Caenorhabditis elegans: one gene and its partner. Changing the gene in region 2 together with the main gene of any one other region gives a genetic interaction. Each region holds a gene or a part of one and is shown on either strand. Other genes may lie near its edges.

Evidence for each region.
Region 1: of zfp-1 (region 2) and mom-5, changing one enhances a phenotype caused by changing the other (phenotypic enhancement), as found in Caenorhabditis elegans (one large-scale study listed by BioGRID).

Annotation. Positions count from the first base shown.
Region 1 is NC_003279.8:9,963,588-9,970,602, reverse strand, and holds mom-5 (Protein mom-5), read right to left. Parts: upstream 5,024-7,015; 5' UTR 4,963-5,023; coding exon 4,490-4,962; intron 3,997-4,489; coding exon 3,626-3,996; intron 3,562-3,625; coding exon 3,423-3,561; intron 2,883-3,422; coding exon 2,641-2,882; intron 2,529-2,640; coding exon 2,408-2,528; intron 2,061-2,407; coding exon 1,842-2,060; intron 1,417-1,841; coding exon 1,269-1,416; 3' UTR 566-1,268; downstream 1-565. Other genes in the region: tsp-7 (Tetraspanin), read left to right, coding at 110-254, 357-490. UniProt on the Caenorhabditis elegans protein: Receptor for Wnt proteins.
Region 2 is NC_003281.10:8,796,621-8,801,474, forward strand, and holds the start of zfp-1 (Zinc finger protein zfp-1), read left to right. Parts: upstream 1-1,777; 5' UTR 1,778-1,844; intron 1,845-1,912; 5' UTR 1,913-1,934; coding exon 1,935-2,043; intron 2,044-2,238; coding exon 2,239-2,494; intron 2,495-2,774; coding exon 2,775-2,865; intron 2,866-2,912; exon of another isoform or gene 2,913-2,914; coding exon 2,915-3,025; intron 3,026-3,865; coding exon of another isoform or gene 3,866-4,081; intron 4,082-4,854. Other genes in the region: F54F2.6 (uncharacterized protein), read right to left, coding at 3,866-4,081. UniProt on the Caenorhabditis elegans protein: Recruits the histone methyltransferase dot-1.1 to chromatin to methylate 'Lys-79' of histone H3 and activate transcription. Recognizes and binds histone H3 methylated at 'Lys-4' (H3K4me) at the promoters of target genes.

The DNA of each region.
Region 1 (7,015 bases), on a different chromosome or scaffold from region 2:
CTTTTTACCTGTATTTTTCATGAAGTTTTTCTTTAATTTAGCAAAACTTCCAAAAAAAAAATTAAAGTAGAACTACAGCATTTAAAATTCAAATTAATTTCAATTTTAGTTGTTTGAATGTTGTGGAGTAACAAATTCATCCGATTGGCTCACATTCACAACAATTCCTGATTCATGTTGCATTGAAGAAATCGAGGGATGTGCTCGAGAGAATGCTCCACTCTTTGAGCCCGGATGCATTCACAGTGTCGAACGTTAGTCTTTTTTTTCCAAGAAGATCAAAGTGTGCTCTGTTGCACTTTCTCAATAGAGCATGATTGGGCTTATCGGAAATTTGATTGTTTTTTTAATTGCAGAATGGGTGCTCAAGAATGGAGCAATGGTCGGCGGAATTTGTGCAGTTTTGGCAGCAATTCAATTGGTCGGAGTCTGTTTCGCTTGTTGTCTTTCAAAATCAATTCTCAAGGATTTCCATGACTTTTATTATTAGTTCATAACCATCCGTTTTTCTTTGCAATCCTTATTTTAGGTTCTTTCAATCGCCGTGTCACAAATTAAACAATAATAATAATGTATAATTTATATATGAATATACGATGAAAAAGAAATTGAGGATGAAGAAAAATAAGCAACCGCATAAATAATGAGTAATAAATTCATAACTCTAAATTCGAGACAAAGACTGGGATGAAAGTGGTTTTACCCTGATTGGAGTGCTCAAAGTGTGAAAAAAAGTGTGTGAACCTTGTGCTGGAGCTGGTGACAACAGAACTTAAGAACATGAATAAACGAGATACATGAAAAATGGCAGCGAGAGAACTGATCTACAGTAACCTGAATTGAAGGGGGTTCTTTTTTGACTTTTCTCAAGCTTCTTTCTGCCCTTTTTGTCAGATTTCAATGTAATTCCACTCAAAAATATCATTTTTCACCATCTTTTCCACTCGTTGTCTCTCTTTTGCTATGTAAGAGCGCATCTTTGGGAGCCGGTTCTTAGAAATGTGCTCGTCGCAACTCAAATCAGGAAGCATTGAGAGACAACGAGTAGACGAGGAGAGTGTAGACACAGAGATGGATCATGCTCTGGGGAATGATTCTGTGAGAGGAAGGGGACCGATGGGCGCCGTCCGATGAGCAAGAGAGAGCATAAGAATAAGTCAGAAAAGTTACAAAGAATGAAGAAAAAGAAACATTTGAGTTGGTTGGGAAAAAAGTGAGAAAAGGAATGAGAATACATATAAATAGGATAAAATGACAAGAAGAGACTATCACCTCATATTAACCTGATCAACATGAGCAGGTACAGTAGGTGACCTCGAAGAGAGTGCCAGGTAAGCCTTGTGATAACTTGAAAGAGTTTTTGAAGAGACAACCCAAATGGCACAGGTTATACCAACAACCAATTGAGACACATATCTGAAAATAAGAACATTTAGGGGTTTCGAATCAAGATAAATAATTCATATTAACTAGACGCGAAATTATGCAGTCTCGGCACGATCCAATTTTGTCGAATATGCGCCTTTAAAGAGTACTGTAACTTCGAAGTCGCGTTGCTGCGGAATTTACATCGATTTTTCATGAATAGTTTTTCTTATGTTAGGCTTTTTGTGTTTGAATTGCTTAATATTTAAATAAGAATATTTTTTATCAAGAAGCGATGAAAATTCTGCAGCAACAAGAGTTTGAAACTACAGTATTCTTTAAAGGCGTATACATTTTTGCATTTAACAAACATTCGTCTTGTCGAAACCGGATGTCGCATTTTTGGCGCAAAAATCAGAAAATCAAATTTAGATTATACAGATTGAAATTTAACTGATTCACAGTTTCAAACTAACTTTAAAAGAAAAACAATAATCTCCGGAGCTGCAACTTTCGGATCCATCGGACAATCATCAACTGGATACGTGAAACCGAATAATTCTCGATCTTGAAGTCGAACACATCGATGATGAAGCCATCCTTCAAGCCAGGCAGGCATATTTACTGCCTGATACCACATAATTGCAGCATTCATTGCAGTTGGTAGAGAGTACATTATGGCGAAGGCACCGATTCTGAAAATATAATATTTGTATGATAATATGAAACGAATATCAGAAAAGCGATTCTTAAGTTTTTCTTATTTTGTTCGGTTCTTAGGAAATCCAATTTTTTCGTTTTTTTTTTCTGAAATTTTGGAATTTTAAATAAAAAATGATTTCCAGGGAATTCTCGGGTTTTAGAATAATTTATCAACTTTCCAAACTGAAATCAATATATCTACATCAGTAAACCTAGTTTGCTCGTCTTTTTCTGTACATGTTTTTCCAATTTTTCGTTTTCCAAAAATCGAAAGTATTTCTTTTCTGATTAAAAAAGCTCAGGTACTTTTGAAGATTTTCAAAAATTTGAAATATCGAACCTCAACATTAATTTCTCCAATTTACTGATATTCCTCTCAACATCGGCGTGTTGAAGTTTAATATAACTTCGAATACGGATCATTGACCAAATTCCACAAACGAGTAAAACTGCTCCGAGTGCTGCAAATAGAACATTTCTGAGAAGAAAACGAAGATAAATAACGATGGAACACACAACGAAACGAATTCAATTTCGGTCTTCCCCCACCATAATATTCACAAAAAAACTAACCCAACGATACAACGATCGGAGTGAAAAAGAAATAGACGAGAGCAGAGGGATTCAAATTTCCAACTGAACAGATTCCAGTAAATACATCTCCATCGACAGAATTTGTCACTAGTACAGTAACCGAGAGAACTGCTGGAACTCCCCAGCACATTGCGTGGAAGTATGGTGACAGAGCAGCAATTGATTCAGCTCCCCATTTCAGATTTGCCGCCAGGAACCAGGCTAGACACAGTACAAGCCACCTGAAAGAATACTTAGTATATAAAATATCATTTTAAAAAGGCTGATAGCTGTTTAAATCAAGATTAAAAATTTGGGTGTCGATTTTCGATTTTTCAATGAAAACAAAAATTTTCGATTTTTGTTTTTTTTTTGTTTGAAGAAAAAATACATTTTTTTCATGAACAAAATTTGATAAAAATTGAATTTTTTTTTTGATTTTCCGATTTTCCGGAAACGGGGTTTTTTTCATTTAAAATTTGGTTTAAAAAAAATATTTTTTAGATTTTTGTTACTGAAAATTGTCGAAAATCATAAATGTAATTTTTTTCTGAAAAATTACACTCGAAATTATAAAAATTAAAATTTTTATCAAAATATTCAAAAAGTTCTTTAAAAAAAAAATGTTTCAGTTGTCGTTTTTTTGTTGAAAAATGTGTTTGAACAAAAGAAAAACATGCCGATTTTTTTTCGAATGCACATTTTCAAAACCAGTTTTCTATTTGTGGTACAAAAAACGGTACTTTTTTCGTTAAAATACAAAAATTAACGAAAAAACTCACCACGCACAACTTGACATGAAGAAAAAGTAATGAACAACAGCAAGAGCACTACATCCAACATTTTCTCCTCCTTGCGTAACAAGTGTTGTTGGAGTAGATCCATACGTTCCACAAGCGAATCCATCTTCACCGACTACGCCTGTAGAAATACATTTTTAGTTTCTAAAAAATCTGATTTAAAAAAAACAGAAAATTCAACTCACCTATCATATAAACCGTAGAAATTGCTAGATAACAGAACGCGAGATACAAAATCGGTCGAACTGGATACGCGAATCGTGATAAATCAACAAGAAATGTGACAAGAGTGAATAAAGAGCACACGAAACATGCCACAGACCATGCTGCTGTCCAGATTCGAAGAATTCGTCGAACACGTCCATCAAACATCATTGGTACTTGATTGTCAGCTTCACATGTTAATGAACATTCAGGAAGGCGTCCACTGAGAAGAGGCAATGAAAAATGAGATCCGCTTGTTGTATGCATATGATGAGGGCATTTTTTTGGAGAAAGGACAACTTCGTTGGCAATTGTTGAAACACCGAATGTGACGTCATTACTACTTCTGTAACTTGAAATATTTTATATTTCGATCTACGGAAACTTGTTTTATTGTTCGATAAAACAAAGAATTTAGAAATCTCGATGTACATTTTTTTCGGAAAATTTCTAAATTCAAAAACTTTGATAAAAAACTATTTGACGCTTTGGAGTAGGAGTTTTTATGGGGCTCAAAAATTCGGAATAATACTTAAATTCAGCCAAACTTGTCAGTATCACAGCGGCCGTAAATTTAATTTTCAGAGAGCTTTTTTTTTTTGAAAACTCTTACGAGGTTCGGTCTTTGCAGGCCATTCTGAATTTATTATTATTTTTCTTTAAATGCAAAACCGATGATTTTAACTGAATTTACAATTTAATTTCTCGCTGTATTTAAAAAAAGGATTCTAGAACGGTTCCCGTAAATTTAAACTTTAATTCATGTTTTGGGTACTTTTGAAATTTTTGTTGTAAATATATATCAATTATAAATTCTTATTCATAAAATTATGCAGAAAACCCACTTTTTAGAGTTGCTCGACTCGCTGGAATTCTTGCCAACACACAAATCAGTTACTGGGAATTTGTTACAATCCAATTGATCTGGCCATTGAAATCCAAACTTTTTCATTAATGACTCGCATCCATTTTTTGCAGATAAACACAATTCTCGACATGGTTGAATTGGTTTTTCGAGTACTGTACAGACAGGTGCATAGACAGTACAAAGAAAGAGACGAATATCTTCTGAGCATTTAACTTTAATTAATGGATTGAATTGCGCAATTGCTGGACCAGCTTCAGATTGTGTTGTATGTCCGAGAAGATTTGGAAATACTGTTTGATTGTAATCCAGATTTTTGCACATTGGAATTGTAATATGTTCACATTTTCGAGTTGTTGAGAATCCATTCATCGATGAAATTGAAGTTGATGAGAGTCGTTGATCAGCTGATAAGCATCCGAATAAAAATAATATCAGAATATGTCGATGCATTGTAATTGATAGTTTTGAAGAGATTTCAGATTGACAAGTGTTAGTTCATAGCAGGATTCGTCTGAAAATATAAAAAATTATTAAAGAAATAGTTTTTTTGGTTATATGTATAGAAGAAGTTCAACATTATTTAGTTAATAGTTTGTGAAATGGAGAGAACAAAATTCTAGAAAAATGATTTTTGGCAAAATTTGGAAAAAAAACCGAACTTAAGTAAATAGCTAAAATCTTTTTCAGAAAAAATCGAAAAAAAATGTTTAGAAAATTAACAAAAAGTGAAATTTTTAATGAGTTGTTGATGTGGATAAACATTTTCAAAAAATTCTTCTAAACGGAGGAAAATGGCCAACAATTTTAGATATTTTACGAAAAATCTTTTTTTTTCTCGAAATATCAGAAAACCAACACAAATACTTTCCGGCAGTTGGCAAAGATGACACATTAAAAATTTTGGCTAAATTTAGGGATTTCTCTTCGAAACATTTTCTATAAACATTTTTTGGAAGGTTTTATTGGAATTCAAAATAGAAGACTCGGTCCATAAATTGACCTTCAATTGATGAGAAAACATTGAATTTTCAAAAAAAGTGAAATGGTGTAATGTTGACATTGGTTCCAAGTGCTAAATCGAATCAATGAATCGTGAAATTATAGTGAGAAACGTGGCAAAGAAAGACAAAGAATAGTAGATTTCGGTATCTAAGTGAATCTAATCTTTAGATTACTGTACAACATGCCTCTAATCTCTTTTTTGTAATACTCTCTCGTTACGCAACTTCCGAGAGAACGGAGCACACACACACAGTAAAGAATAATTACGGCTCGGAATTCGAGAGTAATTAATGATGATGATGAGCACTGACCTAATGAAAAGATCGAAAAAGAGTGAAGAGACACAGGCCACCTGCTGCTCGAGTGTCAAATGGGCAATGAACATGCAAACGGATGAGGGAGGAAGGATTCAAGAATTTTCAAACAGTGATTCATTTCGAAAATATTCTTGTTATTGTTTGGAGAGAATTGAGGAAAATATAGATGAGAATCGAATTGAGAAAAACGGGGACGATCGATCTGTAGAAGAGATAAGAGCAATGACCTAACTGGTAGAATTTTTTGGCATTTCGGAAATTAGTTTTTAGTTTTTAAATATTTAAGTTGAAGAAAGCAAAGAAAACATTTAAAACAAATTGTCTGAAATCAACGATATTCTTAAGCAAAAGGACGCAAAATATTGCACCAAAAATACGGTACCAGGTCTCGACACGATAAAGTTTTGTTTGCGCCTTCAAGGAGTACTGTAACTCGCATTGCTGCGGATTGTTTTGATTTTATATAGGTAAATTCATGGATTTTCATTGTTTTAATCAAGTTATTTAATAAATCAATATTTTCTATCGGAAAACTATAAAAAATCGATGGAAATTCCGCAGCAAAGTTTAAAGTTACAGTACTCTGTCAAGGCGCACAGCTTTCTACATTTATCAAAAATTTGGCGCGTCGAGAGGTACCGTATTTTTTGCTAAAAATCGCAGAATCGAGCCTGAAAATTATATAAATAATTTAATTGTTTTCGAAATTCAAAAAAAGATGCCAGAAATTTAATATCGACGAACTCGAGGAGCACATAAACATATTATTTGAACTTTTGAATAAACTTTTCCAACATCCGAACTGGGAGGCCGAGTTTCGCAATGTGAAGAGCCAACATACACGTCTCGTGCCGGAGATGGGTGTCAAATTCAATTCCCGAATCAAATCAAATGAACAAATAGGCCCGTCGTTTCGATGAAAAAGAACTGACGAGAGCAACACAACTGGGAGCTTGTGACCAGAAGAAAATGGAGCAAACGAGTGATTTGTGATTGATAACGGAAATGAAAAATGGACGCGGAATTGGAAATAGTGGAAAAGAAGAAGAGGTTCAGACAAGATGGTGATAAGAAGGGGGAATGCGAAAATGTTCGCGATGGGAGCAATTTGGATGATTTCTCGTTTCAATATCAGGTAGTTTTTGATGGTTGTAAAAAAATGAAGTAAACGTAGCCAAGAAGAG
Region 2 (4,854 bases):
TTAAAAACCAGTGAAGTTCTATTAATAAATTCTCTTGCTTCTTAAATTTTTTTTTTTAATTTTAAAAACTTTTTGTTAAAGATGTTAATTTTCTGTAGAAATTTTTATTTCACACAATAACCATTAGTTAAATTAAATTTATAACTGTTCCCCAAGTGGTTTTAAAAAATCAATAAAATGATTTCTTGACTATCGTAATCCTTCGTGACCCCTCTGTAGAGATTTTCTTGTGTTATGCAAGTACCCCATCGTAAATTTTCTTTTCTCGATACCCGAAGTATATCCGATCACATCTGTGTCTATGATGATACTGATTACTTTTCCATTTATATTTATCACCTTGACCGTTAATTTTCAATATTTAATTTTTCAATGACAATACAATGTTAATTTTTATAAGGTTATGTGGTAGAAAATGTTAGGCGAGGTTTAGAGAAAAATATAAAAGTTTATTAACTTTATTTCGCCCTTGGACGATTTTTTAAGCATCCAAATGACTCTTTTCATTTAAATTTTTATATTTTCCGATCCGTATATTATTTTCTTTTCAACTAATTTTATTAAAACATACGGCTATATGAAATAAAGCACTGGAACGCAGAAAGTTAGAGAGAAAAGGAGCAAAGCTTCCCCTTCTTGTTTGTATGTATGTGCTCCTTGTGTGCATGTGACATAGAAGAGCCGACGTCGCTGCGCCCCTGTGAGAATTCATGCATGCTTGGCACGATGCCAAGTTGTATGTGTCTATCTTCACCTCCTTTTTCTTCTTCTTCTCGATTGCTTCTCCCTCTCTTCCAAACGAGAACGTGATGTCGGTCTCTCCTACTGTAGGCTACTAGTTGTCTGTGTCTAATACTCTCTCATTGTCAAAGACTTCAAATCGGGAAGATTGTGATGGTGGTTTGGTGACGAGAGAGAGATAGAGAGAGAGAGAGAAAGACACTGACGATGTCGTCGTTATCAGTGTATTTCTTCTTCTTCCTTTTCTTCCATACACAATCTGTAATTCTCTGTCGTTCTCTCAATTTGATTATCACTATTAAATGTATATTCATTCATTCACGCCCATAACTTTTTTGACTTGACTGAATCGAAAATCGAATCGATGGCCGCTCCCCGATAATAAGAAGGAGAGAGAAAAGAGAGACGCTGCAAAAATTTTTTGTCTTTGAATGACCTCTATTCGTCGTATTGATTGACTGCTGCCGTTTGTCTTTTGTGACGAAATTTTGTACAGTTCCATTTTCTTTTATTTCAAAAATTGAGAGAAAAATATCTAATGCTCGGCGTTAAATTTTCAATGAAAAATTTGTTCACTCAAATTGGCCCGAAAAGTCCGAAATTCATAACGAAACTTTTCAATAATTCCTCAAACTTTTTTATAGCAGTTTTACCTAAAATTCTAAATTTTGAAGAATTAGCCTTTATGCAAAATTTTGAATGGCCATAAAAGATTTTTCAATGAATTTCTGAAGAGTTTCGTAATTTGATATTTGATATTTTCAAATGGATTTTTAGTGTATTTTATAAAGCAAAACATTCTTCAATTTATTTTGTTTTCCGAATCTAATATTTAAATATCTCTATGAAACTTTAATACTATTTTTGATACGCATTCAATTATAGATAATTGTTAAACGTTCTTTTTTCTCCGAAATTAGGTTATTTCTATTTGTTCTGTTTCTTTATTTGTCGCTCGGCCATAATAAATCAATAATTTACGGCAATATACCTCTAATCTCCCCTTTTCTGCGTAATTTTTACCGAATTTTTACAGCACATCACCATACAAATGAGCCACGCCTGACCTCTTGACCAGCTACAGTAACCCAAAAAAAATTATCGTAAGTTTTTTCGAATTTTTGTGGAAAATTTGTGAATTGTATTCTCAAATGGATAATTATTTTTACAGAGTCCCCCGAAATTGCTGAAAAATGAAGGAGATGGTAGGTGGATGCTGCGTTTGTGCAGATGAGAATGGTTGGACAGACAATCCATTGATCTATTGTGATGGAGAGAATTGTGAAGTTGCAGTACATCAGGGTGAGTAGAAGTTCACAGAAATTGAAAAATTTTAGTATTTTTCCCGATATTTCGAAAAAAAATCCAACGTTTCCAAGCATTGTTTGAAGTTTTGCTTTTTTCCATCTTATTAGATGAATTTGATTTTTTTTTTTCGATTTTCTCTCAAAAAACCAAATTTTCCGATTAGGCCCCACCGAATTTTTATCATTTCAGGATGTTATGGAATTCAAGAAGTACCCGAAGGCGAATGGTTTTGTGCAAAATGTACGAAAGCATCAGCTATGATGCCCGGCAGTATAAATGAGGCAACATTTTGTTGTCAATTGTGTCCGTTTGACTATGGAGCATTGAAAAAAACTGATCGAAACGGATGGGCTCATGTAATTTGTGCACTTTACATTCCAGAAGTGCGATTTGGGAACGTACATAGTATGGAACCAGTCATATTAAATGATGTACCAACTGATAAGTAAGTTTTTCTCAAGAATATGGGTAATTCAATATGAAAAATGTGTCTGATCAAGGGTGAATATTTTTTGAGTTTTCGACTTTCGATTTTTTGACTCTCTGGAAAATCTCAAATTTTAAAAATTTCCGGTACATTTCTGAACCGAAATTTTTTTTCCAGTTTTTCGATTTTTCGACTTTCAAAAAAAAAACAACAACAAAAAATCTAAACATTTTAAACTCTTTCTTTGAAAAAATCTTGAAGTTTTATTACTATCTCGATCAATTTATATATTTTATAGATTCAATAAACTGTGCTACATCTGCAATGAAGAACGTCCAAATGATGCGAAAAAAGGTGCATGTATGTCGTGTAACAAGTCGACGTGCAAGGTATTTTTATTTTTCTTTAAATTTCTTGTAATTTAAACGAAATTTTCAGAGGAGCTTTCACGTAACCTGTGCTCAGCGGAAAGGACTTTTATGTGAAGAAGGGGCAATAAGTCGGAATGTCAAGTATTGTGGTTATTGTGAAAATCATTTGAAGAAAGCGGTATGTTTATTGAAGATTTATGCGCTAAAAATTGAGAAAAAAGTATTAAAATCGATTTCTTAATATTTTAAGAAAATCAGGCCAGATTATCACTTGGTTTTTCATAGAAGTGAAAATAAAAATAGAACTACAGTACCCATCAATTTCAAATATTTAATCCCTAGTCATACTGGTGCTGTGAAGGTCCGATGCTTGATAGACCAGGTGGATAGACACCTGTCTCTTGAAAAACTAGAGATTGTACGGAGTATTAGAGATTCAGAGAAGTAAAAATATGAATACAATCGTGTGTGCCCGCTTCTTCTCTGCATCTCTTCTCAGGATACTCTATTTCTGAGTCACAGCATTGGGACCCTGGAATAGCAACACAGCCATTGCGCTTCACTCTTAGAGTGAAAGAGATAGAGATGGAGAAAGAGACGTCCTCCGTCCTGTTTTCATATCTGCGTCTAAAATCTCTTTATCCTGAGAAAAAGAAACCGAAAGAGAGGTTGAGAGAGAGAGGGAGACATTGTCGAAGGAGGTCCGCGTGCTTCCACATACACATACACACACCATCCATTCAACACAACACACTTGAGAAGATGGAATAGACGAGAGAAGAGAGTACAGACGTTTAGACGAAATGAAATGGGTTGGGCCAACGGCTGGCTGGATGGATGGCTGACTGAGTGTGACAACGACAAATAGTGCTCGGGGGGGGGGGGGGCACTGAGAGAGATAGACGAAGAACTCGGAGAGACATAGACACAAAAAGGAACAAATTGCTGTCGGGCCAAGCGAGTTTGGAAGAGAAAGAGACGTGCATAGAGTGTCTCTCTCTCTCTCAATTTCATAAGCTTAGATGATTCTCTGCGTCTGCTCTTCGCCGCCCCTTCTGGACTTCTTTTTCTCGGGTGGCCCCCGGCGGCCGTTGTTTCGTCTGCGCTTCTTATTTTCCTCTTTATCGTCATCGTCGTATTCCTCGCTTTGTCCTGCTTTTTCGTTTTCTCCGTCCGTACGCACACATACATACACACGCACATAGTGAGGCAACATCATTCTCTTGTGCTTCATTTGGTTCTTCTTCGACGAATACTCGATAGATTTGAATATAGTCGTCGCCACGTCATACTCTACATTTTCCTGCTACATCATCCTTGCATCTCCCCACTTTCTCACTTGTTACGGTTTTTGCTTAACTCTCTACGTCTCTACTCACTCTCTCACCTACTTTCCTCTTCTCGTTGTGTTTGATGTCACCTTTCTCATCGTCTTCCGTCAATGGAGTTTTTTTGTCGCCAAAGAGAGACATTCACTCATTTTCTCTTCCGTCTCCCTGAAGTAGTTCTATGTTCTTTTTTTTTTTTTTCTAGACTTTGTCATTTAACATTTTTGTTTTACATTTTGGTACATTCACAGAATTATTTCTAAATCTAAATTAAACTTTTGATCTTGAAAGTAGGCCTATCATATAGGCCTCACCGCCTGCCTGCCTCACCTTAAGACGATCTTCGCCTGTTTCCAACTAAGTTGAATGTCTTGATTGTTCTCGGGGGTTGTCAAATTTTTGATGTTATTCTAATTCACCTAATTTAAATTAAACGGTAACAAATATCATAAAACCCTTTAGTTTTTTTTGAAAAAGTCTAATAATCTTTATTAGTTCTTTTTACTAATGAGGACGCTGCAAATTTTTGTTTTTTTTTTCAAAATTCAGCACAAACTTTTCCAAAACACTGAGCAATGTTTTGTTCCGTCTCTTTTCAATATCTAAGTCTCCCTTTAGCTGGTCTCTACACTTCTCCGAATATCTTCAACTTCTAAGTCTATCAATCATGGGATCCTTC